Linked DNA regions of Lonchura striata. The protein of the gene in region 1 purifies or fractionates together with the protein of each later gene. This does not show direct contact. Links are inferred from orthologs where the notes say so. Each region holds a gene or a part of one and is shown in the gene's direction. Other genes may lie near its edges.

Region 1 (6,962 bases):
AACTGTTTGCATACCTGGTGGCTAGATACAATTACTCTTCAAACCATTAGCCTGTGGAATGGAACCAAACACTGCTTATTCTGTAAGATCATGTTAAACACAAACCAAGAACAGGAGAGTAATCAGCTCAGTTATGTCAACTTTTCTCCTAACTTGGAAACCAGCACCAGTTCATTGGGTGGTTAAGTATGACTTTGGGGTCACTGACCCCCAGGGACCACCACTTAACCAAACCATTTAATCTATTTCTGCATGAAAGGATGCACCTGGCACTAGGGGTATGGCACAGAGTTTGGGGTCATGGAAGCAGCCTGTAAAATACTTTTCCAAACAACTGGGTAAGAAGAGTAATGGATGATCTAGATGCTTGAGAGCAATGGCTTTTAAATCCAGGAAGCATGAAACTGACAGCAGGACAAAAGCTTATCATAGACATATCCCCCACGGTAATAGCTGTTTTGGAACAGAAAGGAGAACATTCGGCATCACCAGCAGAATGCTGCAACACCGAGTTTTCCTACTGAAGCAGGATGATGTGGAACTTACAGGAACTACTGCTTTGAACCCAGCCACGTTTCTCCAAGCTTCACGAGAAGCCCAGAGTTCTACCATCACTGCCTGGTAACCACTGAACAAGCGTATTTTAGCAGACCACATCTCAAGAGCAATCCCACCAACGACCCAAAATTAGAGCTATATCCACATGGGAGGACACGGTACAAAGTGGAATATGGATTTTTGGTAACACCACGTCACCAGGGTTCCTACTATCTGCCACCCTCCCGGTGGGGCAGTTATGGGCCCTGTAGAATGACAGCACGTAGCAGGTGAGGATTTCTTACCGGCGAGGTCCAACGTCCTGTCCACGAAGATGACAGAGGCCTTGTTGGTGGCTGTCCTCCTCCTGTTTCTGGCTGAGGCATAGCTTGCTAGCTCAGCGGCGACGACCCTGCTGAGGCCCCCCACAGCGAAGCTCTCCTCCCGCAGGCCCAGGGCGGTGAAGAGAGAGTCGAGCTCACCCACCAGGGCCCGCACCGCCGCCCGCAGCTCGGCGGGCAGCGCACCCAGTCCAACCTCTGCGGGGCCGGGGCCGCCGGGGCCGGGCAGCGGCGGGAGGAGCGCTGCCAGGGCGGGCAGCAGGCAGAGCTCCGCCGAGACGGGCGCCAGGAGCGGCGGGCCGCGCAGCACCACCTCGGCGCGGCCGCCCTCGCCCATCCACCGCCGCAAGGTCTCCTCCAGCTCCGCCGCCGCGCCGCCGTCCGCCTCGTCGCCGCACACCAGGGAGCAGTGCCGCACGGCGCCCCGCTCCAGCACGCCGCGCACCGCGGCCGCCGCGCCGCCCCGCAGCGTCCCGCTCACCACGAACACGACGCGGGCCGCCCCCGCCGGCACCGCCGCCTCGGCGGACAACGCGCTGACAGCCAACGCCCCGGCCGCCAGCAGCTCGCCCGCCCCGCCGGCCCAGTGCAGCGCCTCGGCGGAGGGCGCGTCCATGAGGACGGCGGCGCGGCGCGCCCGGGCCAGCGCGGGCTCCCAGGCCCGGCGGCTGAGCTGCCGCAGCGCCTCCGGCGCCGCCATGGCGCTGACAGCCACAACACGCCGCACGTGCCGGCGCGCCCCGGCGCCGCGCGATGACGTGCCGGGCGCGGGCTGGCCGCGCGCGCGGGGCGGGGCGCTGGCGGGGGCCGGGCCGCTCCCGCGGGAACGGCCGCTGCCACGGCGCTCTGCGTGTCCGGACCCCAGAGGCGGGAGGGACCTTCATCGCTGCCCCTGCCCTGCTCTTGGGTACTCACTGTGCTAGGGTTAGCAAGTGCTTTGGTGAATGACCTGGCGACACGGAGTACTCTCGCTCAGTAAATGCGACTTTTCGCTGTACAGTTAGAGACGTATGACAAATTATTTTAATTCCATGTCCCCCTTTAAAAGCCTATCATCTCGAAATCGGTTTCAAAACTAACTAGAAAAAAAATGCCATAACAAGCATCTACAGTTTCTTCTCCCCAGAAAATGGATGGCCCGCCTGCAAATCTGTGCTCTACATAGAATTCAGCTGGGCAGCCTCCTTGGTGCACAGCCAGGAAGGCACCTTTTCTGAGACAGCAGGATTATCAGCATTAATAAAGAGATAAAATACTTAGTTACTTCACCTTCCATCTTAACTGCTGTTCTTAGGTCTCTTACAGATTCAATTATCTTACAGATTCAAATGGTTTCAGGACACTGAAAAACATGAGGAACACTGAATTCACTAGATTTCCAGTAATTAAATCAGATCCTTTCCTTTCAGTGTTCTCTACTGATATTGCTACTCAGATGCATTCTTCCCTTTCTTTGTGCTTTCTTTCTAGCACCAATCTGTTATTTTAACTATAGGGCATATAGCTTCATGATGCTAGATAAATATGTAAGTTAATAGTCTTCTTGACGATTTTGATTTGAGAAATGAACACTAAGGATGGGGGCTAGTTAACTACTATTGTGTGAAGTGGCAAAGTAAACATAACAGGAATGAAAATTCAGACACCGATGTCTATGAAGAGGTACTACATATACACATTTGTCTTATGAGAAATAAGTGACTCAGTGGTGAAAAATGCCTTTGCTGACTCCACAATTATTTGTGCAAAAATGAAATAGCAAGATGAAAACCTACCCAGTTACATCACATAATTCATTACCTGTTCCACAATACTCAGACATTTAATTTTGCGGGGGTGAAAAATAAATTTGAGTGGGTTGGTTGTTCTTGTGAACTCCAGTGAAATGTCATGCCATATATGAAACATTCAAATAAGCTTCTCTCTGTAGGCAATTAAAATAAAATCCCCTCACTGTGAGTTGTGTTTATGTTACAGTCCTCTAGTCTGATTTTTCCCAAACTGACCTGCTGTGAAAAAGCAGACCCCTGTTTTAGTTTTCACATACATCCTGAAACACCACAAGCTCCATTTGTACACACATCTGGTCGAAACTTATTTGGACAGTTGTTGGTACTTAACCTTTCTAATGCACCTTGCAGGTGTTGTCTAGCATTCACAGATGTAAAGTGAGCAAATCACCAGGAAAAATGGCTCACTACTCCTCACCGCTTCTAAAACAGAATTAGTGAAATTCATAGAAACACTTCGAACACAGAAACACGTTGAAAGATTCACAGCATACTATGAATGTTAAACTCTCACTGTACCTAAAAACAAAGTCAGGAAATTTGTGGAGGAAAAAAAAAAAATCTATGAGGAGTTGTTAAACCTAAAATACTACGTCCAGCTTGGATAGCTGCTGAGCCGAGGGACAGTACTAGCAGAGGCAGCGGCGTGTTTACCCCGTGGTTACGCTCCCTCGGCAGCTGCCATCAGCCGCCAGTAGATGCACAGACGCACGGCACTGGAGCGTACGTGTGTTTAGCCAAGTCCTGCTTCTGGCGATAGGCGAGGATGTTCTCAGGAGATGGCCATGCTGCCGGTGATCCCTGCTATGGGGACGGACGGGCGTCCAGGGACGCAGGAGAGCACAGGGACCACCTAGAGCACACGGCAGCGAGAGGAAGGGAAGGCGGCTCTCGCAGCGCGCCCCGGGAGAGCGGCGACAGGCCGGCCGCGGTGAGTGGGCGCGCACGGACGGAGCCCGGGCGGCTCGGCGGGGAGGGCAGTCGCGGGGCCGGGCCGGCCGGGCCGCCCCCCGCAGCCCGTGCCCGGGGCGCCGCAGGGCCGGGCCGGGCCCGCTTCCTGTGCGTGTCACTCACGCGGGGGGAGGGGAAGCGCCGGGCGGCGGCGGCGGCGGATCCTCCGCGAGAGGCCGCGCTGGGCGTTCGCGGCCGCCCGCCCGCGCAGCGCCTGGCCGCGGGCCGAGGCGCCGGGGAGCCCGGGGGCGGCGCGGCGGGGCGGCCGGCGGAGGGAGGCGCTGCCGGCGCCGGGCCCGCGCGTCCCGCGGGAGGCGGCCATGTCTACCGGCGAGGCGGAGCGGTTGTCGGCGGACGCCGATGGGGCCGCCGGGGACGAGGAGGAGGAGTGGCTCTATGGCGGTACGGACCTTCCCCGACCCCCGTGCCCAGCCCGCCTCCCCGGCGGGCCGGCCCGTGCCGCCGCGGCGGGGGGGCCGCGCGGGGTGCGCAGGCCGCGCCGTGAGCCGCCTCGCCGGGCCGCTGAACAAGGCTCCCCAGTCCCGCCGCCCCCGTGGCTGCTCAGGCCCCTCTCTCTTCCCGGCCAGCCGCCCCGGGGGCGACGGCTCCCGGCCCCGTCCCTTCCCCGGTCTCCGCTGCCGGTGCCGCGGGCCCTCAGCCCGGGCCGCGCAGGCCGAGGCGGGCCGGGCCGGGCCTCAGCGGCGAGAGCCCCGCGTGGTGTCCCTGCCCCACAGGCATCCCTGCGGGCACCGAGCCCTCCCTGATGCTCTCCTGCCCGAGTTCCCGGCGTTGAAATACTGAAAGAGGCTTAACTTTTAATTTATTAACTTTTTGTACAACTTTAGGGACTATCTTTACGTTCAGATATTAATGAAACATATAAACTAAACCTCGTCCATGTGGTGGACCTGTCAGTGCAGAGCACTGTGAGCACTCGACTGATTTCACAGTTGAAATGTTAACAACATATCTCAATAGTCAATATGTCTCTGAAGACTTACCTAATACTCTGCATGCCAAGATAATCTGTTACAGTTGATACCCTAGGGATTTTGTTCTTAAGTATTGTGTTTCTTTTCTCTTATGGTAGATGAAAATGAAGCAGAGAGACCAGAGGAAGAAAAATCTAGGTGAGTATCCTGACAAATGAAAGCCCTGTAGCATGACTGCACAAAAGATGTGTTCACTACATTCTTCTTCCCAGCTCCTTGAAAGTTGGTAGGACCTGAACACGCTCTGGTGTCTTAAAAAATGTCCTTAAGATAGTATGTTTGGACTTTGCTTTTCTGTGAAATGACTATACCTGTGAAATTGGGTCCGTTAAGTATGAAAGTTACTTTAACTGTATGTAGCAGTAACCCCTTACAAAATGCCAATAGGTCTAATTATTGTGCTTTGTGGTCTTAATGATGGATCAGGACTTGTTTGAGATAATTTACCAACTAAAAAATATTCTTTCTCCTGAAGAGTTTTCAGTGTAGTTGCAAAAACAGGGATACAAGGAAGCAGTGGAAGATTACCAGGTAGTTTGATGTACAGATCAGATCTGCTTAGGTGAAAGCAGGGTTAGTTTGGGTTGTTTTTTTTACTAGTAAGACAGTATTTGAAAGAAACTTAGAGAAACTTAGGAAAGCTTTGGAATATTTGAGGGGAGCCTGCTTGAGTTGCAAAGAGCTGTGTGAAGGCACAAAGATGCTCCCTTGAAAACTAACAAAGTTAATGGAGATTAGTAATGAGGACTGACTGGAAAAGGGAATCAGTCACTCATGCTGAATGAAGGAAATTCTCATAATTTGTAAAATACAGAAATTATTGATTGTCAAAGTATATGAATCAAATAAAGGGAAAATCAGTATATAAAACATGCATTGTTATTTTCTATAGATGTTTTCCATGTTTTCAGTAAGAACTCTTGCATTTGCTTAGCCTTAGTGGATTGCTTGTTCATAAGCCTGCTCAGTTGCTCTTTTGAGCTCGTATCAACTTTAACAAGCACAGAATGACAAAGCAGTAATGATCTCCATGACATGACTATATATGATATTATTGTGAAGCAGCTACTAGGTGTGATTATTTGATTCCCATTATTTCTGTAGTATAAGAAACAGAGTTGCTTTCTTTCACTTTTTCCATCTCACTTAATGGGTTTCTAGACCTCTGTTGCATTTGACTTGAATCCTCTCTCTTCCAGAACAAAGAAGTTGTTACATTTTTGGGCTTTATTTATATCAGTTCATTCCTTATGTTCAGTTACCTTTTCTTGACCAATGTGTTTGTCACTACTACTGTTACTTAGGAAAATTACCTGCATGGAGGCCAAAATGATCTTTAGAAACAGTGTACTCCAGTTTTTGGTCAGTAGTGTCTAGCTTGGCATTTTGGTCTTGCAATGCATAGTTTTGGACAAAAAGCATAAAAAATACTAACTTATGCATCTTAGGAGTTGTGTTTGGAACTGTGGAAGTATGGGGACAGTTCAGCTGTTAAAAGTTGTGGTCTCTGGCCTCTCAGTTTTGGCATTGTTTGTATATACAGGAATGGTGATGTGTTATTGAGGTTCTGTACCTGTCATTTTACTAGGTGATGAAGTGAAACGATCAAGCTGGAATCCTGAGGCAATAGCTGGGCTGTATTGTGTGCAGCACTAATGGGTGTGTTGCCAACAGAGTATGGGGTTAGATTCATTCTATTCAATGAAAATTGGCAATTGCACACTCTGTTTCAGAAATAACCTTTTCAGTGAAAAAATATTGTTTCTAGATGGCTCCCTGCTTACTCTGCTTTTTGTGATGCAGCATCCTAACAGCTAATGGGACTGTGGAAATTAAAATATTACTGTCTAGGAAACAGCTGTAGATAGGCTCAGTGAGACAGCTCATTTGCATGGATGTCACAGTACTCATCCTTTTAGATGGACCAGTAGTTTTAAAAATTTTATGGTTCTCAATCTACAGATAAAATATCATTGCATTGTAACTATTCCATATGGTAGAAGAAAATTTTACGATGCTGATGTGGGAATTCTGTTTTGGTGGAACATTACCTGTGGGTGTTTAAATGTGGTTTTTTATTTTTTTTTTCCATTATATCTTTGAAAAGTGTCAGTCTGCAGGGGAAAAAAAACCCAAACAACTTATTCTCCCTTCATATGTTGCAAAGTATTTCAATTTGATTTCAAAGGAAGGTCCAGGTGTCATTGCTTCCAACTATTCTACAAATATCCAGTTAGTATGATTTATGATAGCTAAATGTTTCTAATATAAAGTTATATTCATCTAGGTTTTTTTTTTAATAAGTTGACTTTGTTTTTTAATTAATGCAGAAGACAACTGGAGCTTTGGCT
Region 2 (6,911 bases), on another chromosome or scaffold:
CCGCCCGCTCCTCCCTCACTCGCTCCCTCCCTCCCTCGCTCACCCGCTCGTGGAAGATCGACTCCATGTTTACTGTGGCAGCCGCAGCCCCCGCCCCACGTGACCCGCCCGGCCAATCGCAGCGCCCATCGCCCCCCGGCCGCGCAGGGCAGGCCCCGCCGGCTGCGCCCGGCCCGCCCGCCGCTCTGGCGCCCCCTGCCGGAGAGGAGGCCGGCGGGCTAAACCGTCGCTGGCCGCGAGCGCCCCCGCGCGGCAGCAGCGCCCGCGGGGAGCGACACCCGCCGCCGGCTCGCTCCTCTGCCGGCTGGCCCCGCACCGGCCCGGGACCGCTTCTATCCGCACCGGCCCGGGACCGCTTCTATCCGCACCGGCCCGGTACCGCTTCTATCCGCACCGGCCCGGTACCGCTTCTATCCGCACCGGCCCGGGACCGCTTCTATCCGCACCGGCCCCGCGCCGCTTCTATCCGCACCGGCCCCGCGCCGCTTCTATCCGCACCGGCCCGGTACCGCTTCTATCCGCACCGGCCCGGTACCGCTTCTATCCGCACCGCCCGGTACCGCTTCTATCCGCACCGGCCGGGTACCGCTTCTATCCGCACCGGCCCGGTACCGCTTCTATCCGCACCGGCCCCGCGCCGCTTCTATCCGCACCTGCCCGGTACCGCTTCTATCCGCACCGGCCCGGTACCGCTTCTATCCGCACCGGCCCCGCGCCGCTTCTATCCGCACCGGCCCCGCGCCGCTTCCCCCGCACCGAGCGGAGCGGCGCCCGGCACCGCTCCTGCCTTGTGCTCACCAGCTGCGCACTCCTTAGACCCTCCTGGTCCGCTCACAAAGCCTCAATAACTGCTTAACCACTATTCCAAACAAGCCTACAGAGACAATCCAGAAAGCAACTTAAGCAGGTTCAGTACCTGTCAAACACATTCTGGATTTATGGAAGTATTTCTTTGAAGGCTAGTTCATGAAATAGCTATAAACACACGGATTCCACACCATACACAGCAATACCAACATAAATGATTTTTGCATAGTTTATTCTATAATTCTTCCTCTCCTTTCCAGAGTAAGGAAGAAAATTCTCTCAATGCTTGTGGACTAATGGAACTCCTGAACATATATGAGTCATGTAATTAAATCATCTTCAAAAAGTAACACCAGATATTAAACTAGCACTGATGAACTGCAGATGTCCTTTACTGTAGTATCCTCTCAGGGTAAAAATCATATTCCTGTTCTTTCAATATGTAAGACGATGAATCAAACAAAAATGTCTTCCTTTTCATCATCAGCTTTTATTTCCAAGTTACTTCTTCACCAGGCTTCAATTCCCTGTGTAGAAAAAAACCCAAAAAACAAGAGGGAAGAGACTAAAATTAGTATCATTATTTTTAGAATAATTATTAATATTTGTGTTAGTTTACATTCAACCATACCTTCAATTTGAGATTTATGTAAAAATTTAATTTTCCTTGCAATTGCTGTCAGTTAAAAATCTTTCCATACTGATAAACTTCCTCCTTTCTTTCAAAAGCTTCAATGGATTGAGTCCTCTGAATTTCCATTCATTTAAATGGAAGCACAGAACAGCTGACTTCTAAGTAGTTAACAGACTTTTAACTGGATCCAAAATGAAAAATTCTACTTTTTTAAAATGTAACAATTCATTACTTTAGTGGAAAGAGAAATGTGAAAGAAGAAGGGATTTTTACAAGACACCGACATAGCAGCCCAACTTCACTAACAAATACATTAAGAAAAGTGCTAATGTATCAGGGGAGTGGATTATGTCAAAAGCTTTCTTTCTTATTCAAAATGAATTTAGGTGAGGCCAGAGGAGGAAAGACAAATCCACTAGAAAACTGATAGCTACTATCAGTTTCTGCAACATGACTTTTTTCTCTCCTCTTTTGTTAACCTCAAGACCTAATACAGAATTAGAACTGACACAGGTGAGTCAATGCCTGAAGTTCTCTGATGTAAATACTCCCTGAGGAACCAGAGCCAGAAAACCCAAACTCATCAGTGTATATAATCACATAATTCAGTGAAGACATAGCAGGTTGTATGTTAATTTTCAAGGACTTGGTAATTACTTTTAAGTAACACACATTTATAAAAAGAATTTTGTCAAAAAGCACTGTGATAATTTTAAATTTAAGAAAGAAAATAAAAACTCAAGCACTGTGTTTTCTGCTGAAGTTACAGAGAGTTAAAATAATGGTTTCCATATTTCATGACCACGAACTTGACAGCAGTTAATGATTCTTTCTTTCATGAAGATGATAGCTTCTAAAGATTCCGTTTTCAGAGGGTATTACTGACCTAAAACACTTCATGAATGCTTGATATTTTTAGGCCTTTCTTCCCTTTTTTTGGTTACAATCATGACTAAAAAAGAACTGAGAAGCACTTTGAATAATAACTATATACGTATACAAGAGGCATCATAAAGCAGACCTTTTATATAATAAGCTCTTGTTTCTGAAGGCAGACAATCTTTCATCATTCCATCTGTCCAAATAGCATCCAATCACAAATCCTAAGGGAACAAGGATGTGAACCCAGTGTTCACGCACAGCTTGGGCGAAATTCACCATGACTGCTAGAAAGAAAAGTGTAGGAGGTAAGAGGTACTAATACTTGTGCACTTGGAAACTGGTGCATGCTTGGCACCTTTACTCTCACTTATTAGGATTCCACAATTACATAATATACATGAAGGCTATCAAACACTTCCTGGGAGAAACATGCTGCTCTCAAACCCATACCCGGCCTTCTTAGAAATAATCCTAAATGTTAACCCTGGGAAAAAGGATTTCATCCTAAAACAGGAGAGAAATAAAACATCTCTTTAATTTACTCTTTAAAGCAATTCTATAGAAGTTTGCTACTCTGTAAAGCATTAGAAACACTTTCATAACCTAAACTTCTGTAGAAGGAGACTTCATTATCTGCGTCAAGTCTCAGAGACTGACAGATAAGAAAGGACTTTTCTAAAATCACAGAATGACAGAATCATTACAGTTGGAATGGACCTTTGGAGATCATCCAGTCCAACCTCTCTGTCAACACATCCTGGTGGTTTCTCAATGTCTCCAGATAGGGAGACTTCACGGCCTCTCTGGAAAGCTGTTCCAGTGCTCTGTAACCCTCAAATTGAAGAAGTTCTTCCTCGTCTTGAGGCAGAACTTCTTGTGTTTTAGCAATGGCTATTGCTCCTTGTCCCATTGCTGGGCACCAACGAAAAGAGTTTGGCACCCGTCTTTGAGATATTTACACCCATTAGTGAGATCCCCTCGCAGACCTCTCCAAACTATAGGGGCCCAGCAAACCTTCCCAACCCAACCAAAGCCTTCCAGATTAGGGAATTACACGGGATGGCAGTGAGGTCTGTCACACAGCCGCGGGCTCGGACCCCGGCCGGCTCCCGGGGGCGAACTCCGCCGCCGTTCGCGCCGCGGCCGCTGTGGGGCGGCCAGGCAGGCGGACAGGCAGGCGGACAGGCGGGCACCCCTGCGGAACCCCCGCCCCGGGCCCGGCCGCTGACTCGCGGCACGGCCCCACCACCTCCCGGCTCAGCCGCCTCCGGCCTGCCCGGGACCCGACCGCCGTAAAGCCCCACGGCTGAGGGGCGCTCGCTCCCGCCCGCCCGCCGCCGCCGTGTCCCGGCCGAGGCGCTCCCGGCAGGCCCGACAGCGGTCCCGCCCCGCGCCACCCCGCCATTACCGCCGCTCGCGCCGCAGCGGGACCGCAGCGGCCGCGCCAAGGGCACCGGGAACGGGCGGGCCGGGCCAGACCACGCGCTGCGCGGGGCCGGGGGAGGAGCGCGCTCCCCCCGGCAGGCTCGCGGTGGTGCCGCCCGCTACCCTTCCGCCCGCTGCCCCGCCTCCCCGCCCCCGCAAGATGGCGGCGAGCGCGGCGCGGGCTGGGGGTGGTTGAGGGCGGCAGGTACCGGCTTCTTCGCATCATCATCCTCCTCTTCCCCTTGTTCTCCTCGTCTCGGACTGGAGTGCGCGCACCGCTCGCCCCCGTGTCCCCGTCCCCGCCCGGCGAGAGGCCAGGCCCGGGCGCCAGGCCCGGTGGGGCGCTGGAGCCCCGGAGCCCCCGCGGGGCGCCCGGCCCGCGCTGTGCCCATGGTCGGGCAGGCCTGGGTTGGAGGGTCGCGGCCCTGGATGTGCCATCTCTGGGTGCCCCCATCCAGCTCCGTGGAGCTGCTGTTAACCGCGCTGCTCTTAGGGATCCTTTTTAAAATTATTCTTGATATTTATTGTAGAAAATTAACCCCACCTCTTTCTAATACCTGCAAGAGTAGAATGTTAATGTCTGCGACTTTAGCAGCTGTATTGAACAGTATTAACACCGTTAGCCTGCATATTTTCAGGAATATGTGAAGCTAGATCTAAATAACATCTAAGTGAAACATTTTGTCCCCCATTCAGATTAGTTCTTTTGGAGATTAAACACTTGGAGAGGAAAATGACATCGATTATCAAGTTGACTACGCTCTCGGGGGTGCAGGAGGAATCTGCCCTCTGCTATCTTTTGCAAGTAGATGAGTTTCGTTTTCTTTTGGACTGTGGCTGGGATGAAAACTTTTCTATGGATATTATTGATTCTCTGAGGAAGTAAGTAGTTCAGTTCATACACCTGTTAAATTAGGGCTTGGTCTATCTTAAAAGTTTTCAAAATTCCACGCAGTGGTATAGTGTTGCTAAATGCAAAATTGTTCTTTTGTTTTGTTTTGTGTATATTTTACATGAAGGGTATCACACTGCTGAAACATTTCCTGCAGAAACTTGGGATATTTTCCTTGTCAGTCCAATGAGTTGTGTCTCTTGACTGTAATTCTCAAACTGTTCACTTTTTGTTTTGGCTTATATGATTTGTTTGTTTTTTATTGTCATAAATGTGACACCTTTTAGGGGAGACTGACCTTGACTGTCAGCTAATTCAGAATAGTTAACTAAGTTTTAAATGGGAGAGGAAGCCTTCCTGTATGTAGGCTGGATACAAAGCAGTTCAACTCTTGGCTCTTGTTTCAAGTTGAATAGACTGTCAGGAAAACACCTTCTGTCAAGACACTAGCCCTGCAAAGGGAAAAAACCCCTCCAACCCAAAATCTACCCAGCCTTCAATACTGAACTTCTTCAGATGTACAACAAGGAGCTGTGCTGATTGCCAAGTTAGGACTGAAACATGGAAATTTAGGAAGGAAACTGAGCTTTTTGATACTAGTTTTGTAGCATTGACACACTTGCAATGTTTGAAATCTTTTAAGTGAGGATTGTTGAGGATAATTTATACAATTTTTTAAGTGTCTTATCTAAGAAGCAATTAGATAAAATTCCCTGTATCATAACAGCCATTGAGATGAATGTGTATGTCCCTCTTAGTATGCAAGGGAACAAAAAACTGTCAGTCCAGCTTGTATTTTCATTTGTTACATGTGTTTTATGCTCTCAAGTTTTTCAGTTATGATATGTAGAAAGGTTTTAGTCAGAGTTCTAATTTTATGCAACACTTTGCAAGAAAAAACAAATGTTTTTAAGAGTAATAAAATCCCCCAAACTGATGTGCTACTTTTCTTAAATTATATGTTTGATCTTTTCTGTATTTAAAGAAATATATTTTGATTTGGTCTTTATCAGTTTAAAGATTGTTGTGTCTTTGGTCCTATTACTTGTTCACTCCCATCAGAAGAAAAGTTGTAGTCTGTTTTGGGGTGTATAAGCAATTTGTAGCACATCTATACTGATAATATTCTTGGTCCTTCAGTTAATTTACTTTCTGGTGTCCACTTATATACTAAGGTCTTTTTTTATCAGGAGTTTGATGTGAAACTTATGTCTTCTGATCTAAAAGTTATGCTTTCTGAAGTCACTTGTGTTTTTAAATACTTGAACATTAGGAAACACCTGTAAGTTTTAATTATGATTTTTAAAACTGTCCCAGTTCTTGAAGGGTTTAAATTTCATTATTTGGCATTCAGATTGTGTATGTATTCTCAAAATATCTCTAGCAGGGGATATACAAAACCATACAGAGCTCCATTCAATGGCTTTTGTTGGCCCTCTTTTTATAGGCACGTACACCAGGTTGATGCTGTTCTTCTTTCCCACCCTGACCCTCTACACCTTGGTGCACTTCCATATGCAGTTGGAAAAATGGGATTGAATTGTGCCATTTATGCAACTATTCCTGTATATAAAATGGGACAGATGTTTATGTATGATCTCTACCAGGTATGTTTAAGTTGATACTTTCATACACATCATCTGTGATATGGTGGAGTGTTTGAATGCTCTGTACCTCTTTGTTTGTTTTAGTCCCGCCATAATACTGAAGATTTCACACTCTTTACGTTGGATGATGTAGATGCAGCCTTTGATAAGATACAACAGCTGAAGTTTTCTCAGATTGTGAACTTAAAAGGTAAAGTTGCCACCTCAAGAACTTACTTTTAGTGAAAGGCAACAGAGCAGTTAAGAGTTAAAGTAACTTTTTTAAAGGGACTGAATTCTGAAATACTGTGTTTTGCAGTGCTGAATTCATTAGCCTTATGTCAGTCTGCATTAATTGCAATTGTATCTAGAAATGGATAAAATTTTTACTTAGTGCAGAGGAGGTCATGCCAAAGAATGTTTAGGTGTTTGTTTCTCTTTCTTGTTTTTGTAACTTTTTTTGAAATTTACTGATGTCTGTTAAAAGTATTTACTTACGTCTAGCAGCAGATAGCTCAGAACTCTCTATAACCAGTAACACAAGGGAAGGCTTTCTAGAGCAGGTTGCAGAGATGAAGTTACAGCATGTGCATGATTTAATGGGGAGATCTTCAGTGACTCAGATCATACTCAGTGTAGCGTATTGCTGGAACATGTGACACTCAACAGCTTTCCATTAGTGTTG

The links.
Region 2: the proteins of FIP1L1 (region 1) and CPSF2 purify together in Homo sapiens (affinity purification with mass spectrometry; 7 studies listed by BioGRID and IntAct, with this or other methods). This does not show direct contact. The link is inferred for Lonchura striata from reciprocal best matches to the Homo sapiens genes FIP1L1 and CPSF2.

What each region holds. Positions count from the first base shown.
Region 1 is NC_134606.1:26,635,266-26,642,227, forward strand, and holds the start of FIP1L1 (pre-mRNA 3'-end-processing factor FIP1), read left to right. Parts: upstream 1-3,877; 5' UTR 3,878-3,939; coding exon 3,940-4,021; intron 4,022-4,709; coding exon 4,710-4,749; intron 4,750-6,962. Other genes in the region: SCFD2 (sec1 family domain-containing protein 2), read right to left, coding at 843-1,578.
Region 2 is NC_134608.1:16,334,651-16,341,561, reverse strand, and holds the start of CPSF2 (cleavage and polyadenylation specificity factor subunit 2), read left to right. Parts: upstream 1-3,886; 5' UTR 3,887-3,953; intron 3,954-4,444; 5' UTR 4,445-4,481; coding exon 4,482-4,630; intron 4,631-6,087; coding exon 6,088-6,247; intron 6,248-6,331; coding exon 6,332-6,437; intron 6,438-6,911. Other genes in the region: ATXN3 (ataxin-3), read right to left, coding at 44-67; NDUFB1 (NADH dehydrogenase [ubiquinone] 1 beta subcomplex subunit 1), read right to left, coding at 1,298-1,334, 2,463-2,602. UniProt on the Homo sapiens protein: Component of the cleavage and polyadenylation specificity factor (CPSF) complex that play a key role in pre-mRNA 3'-end formation, recognizing the AAUAAA signal sequence and interacting with poly(A) polymerase and other factors to bring about cleavage and poly(A) addition.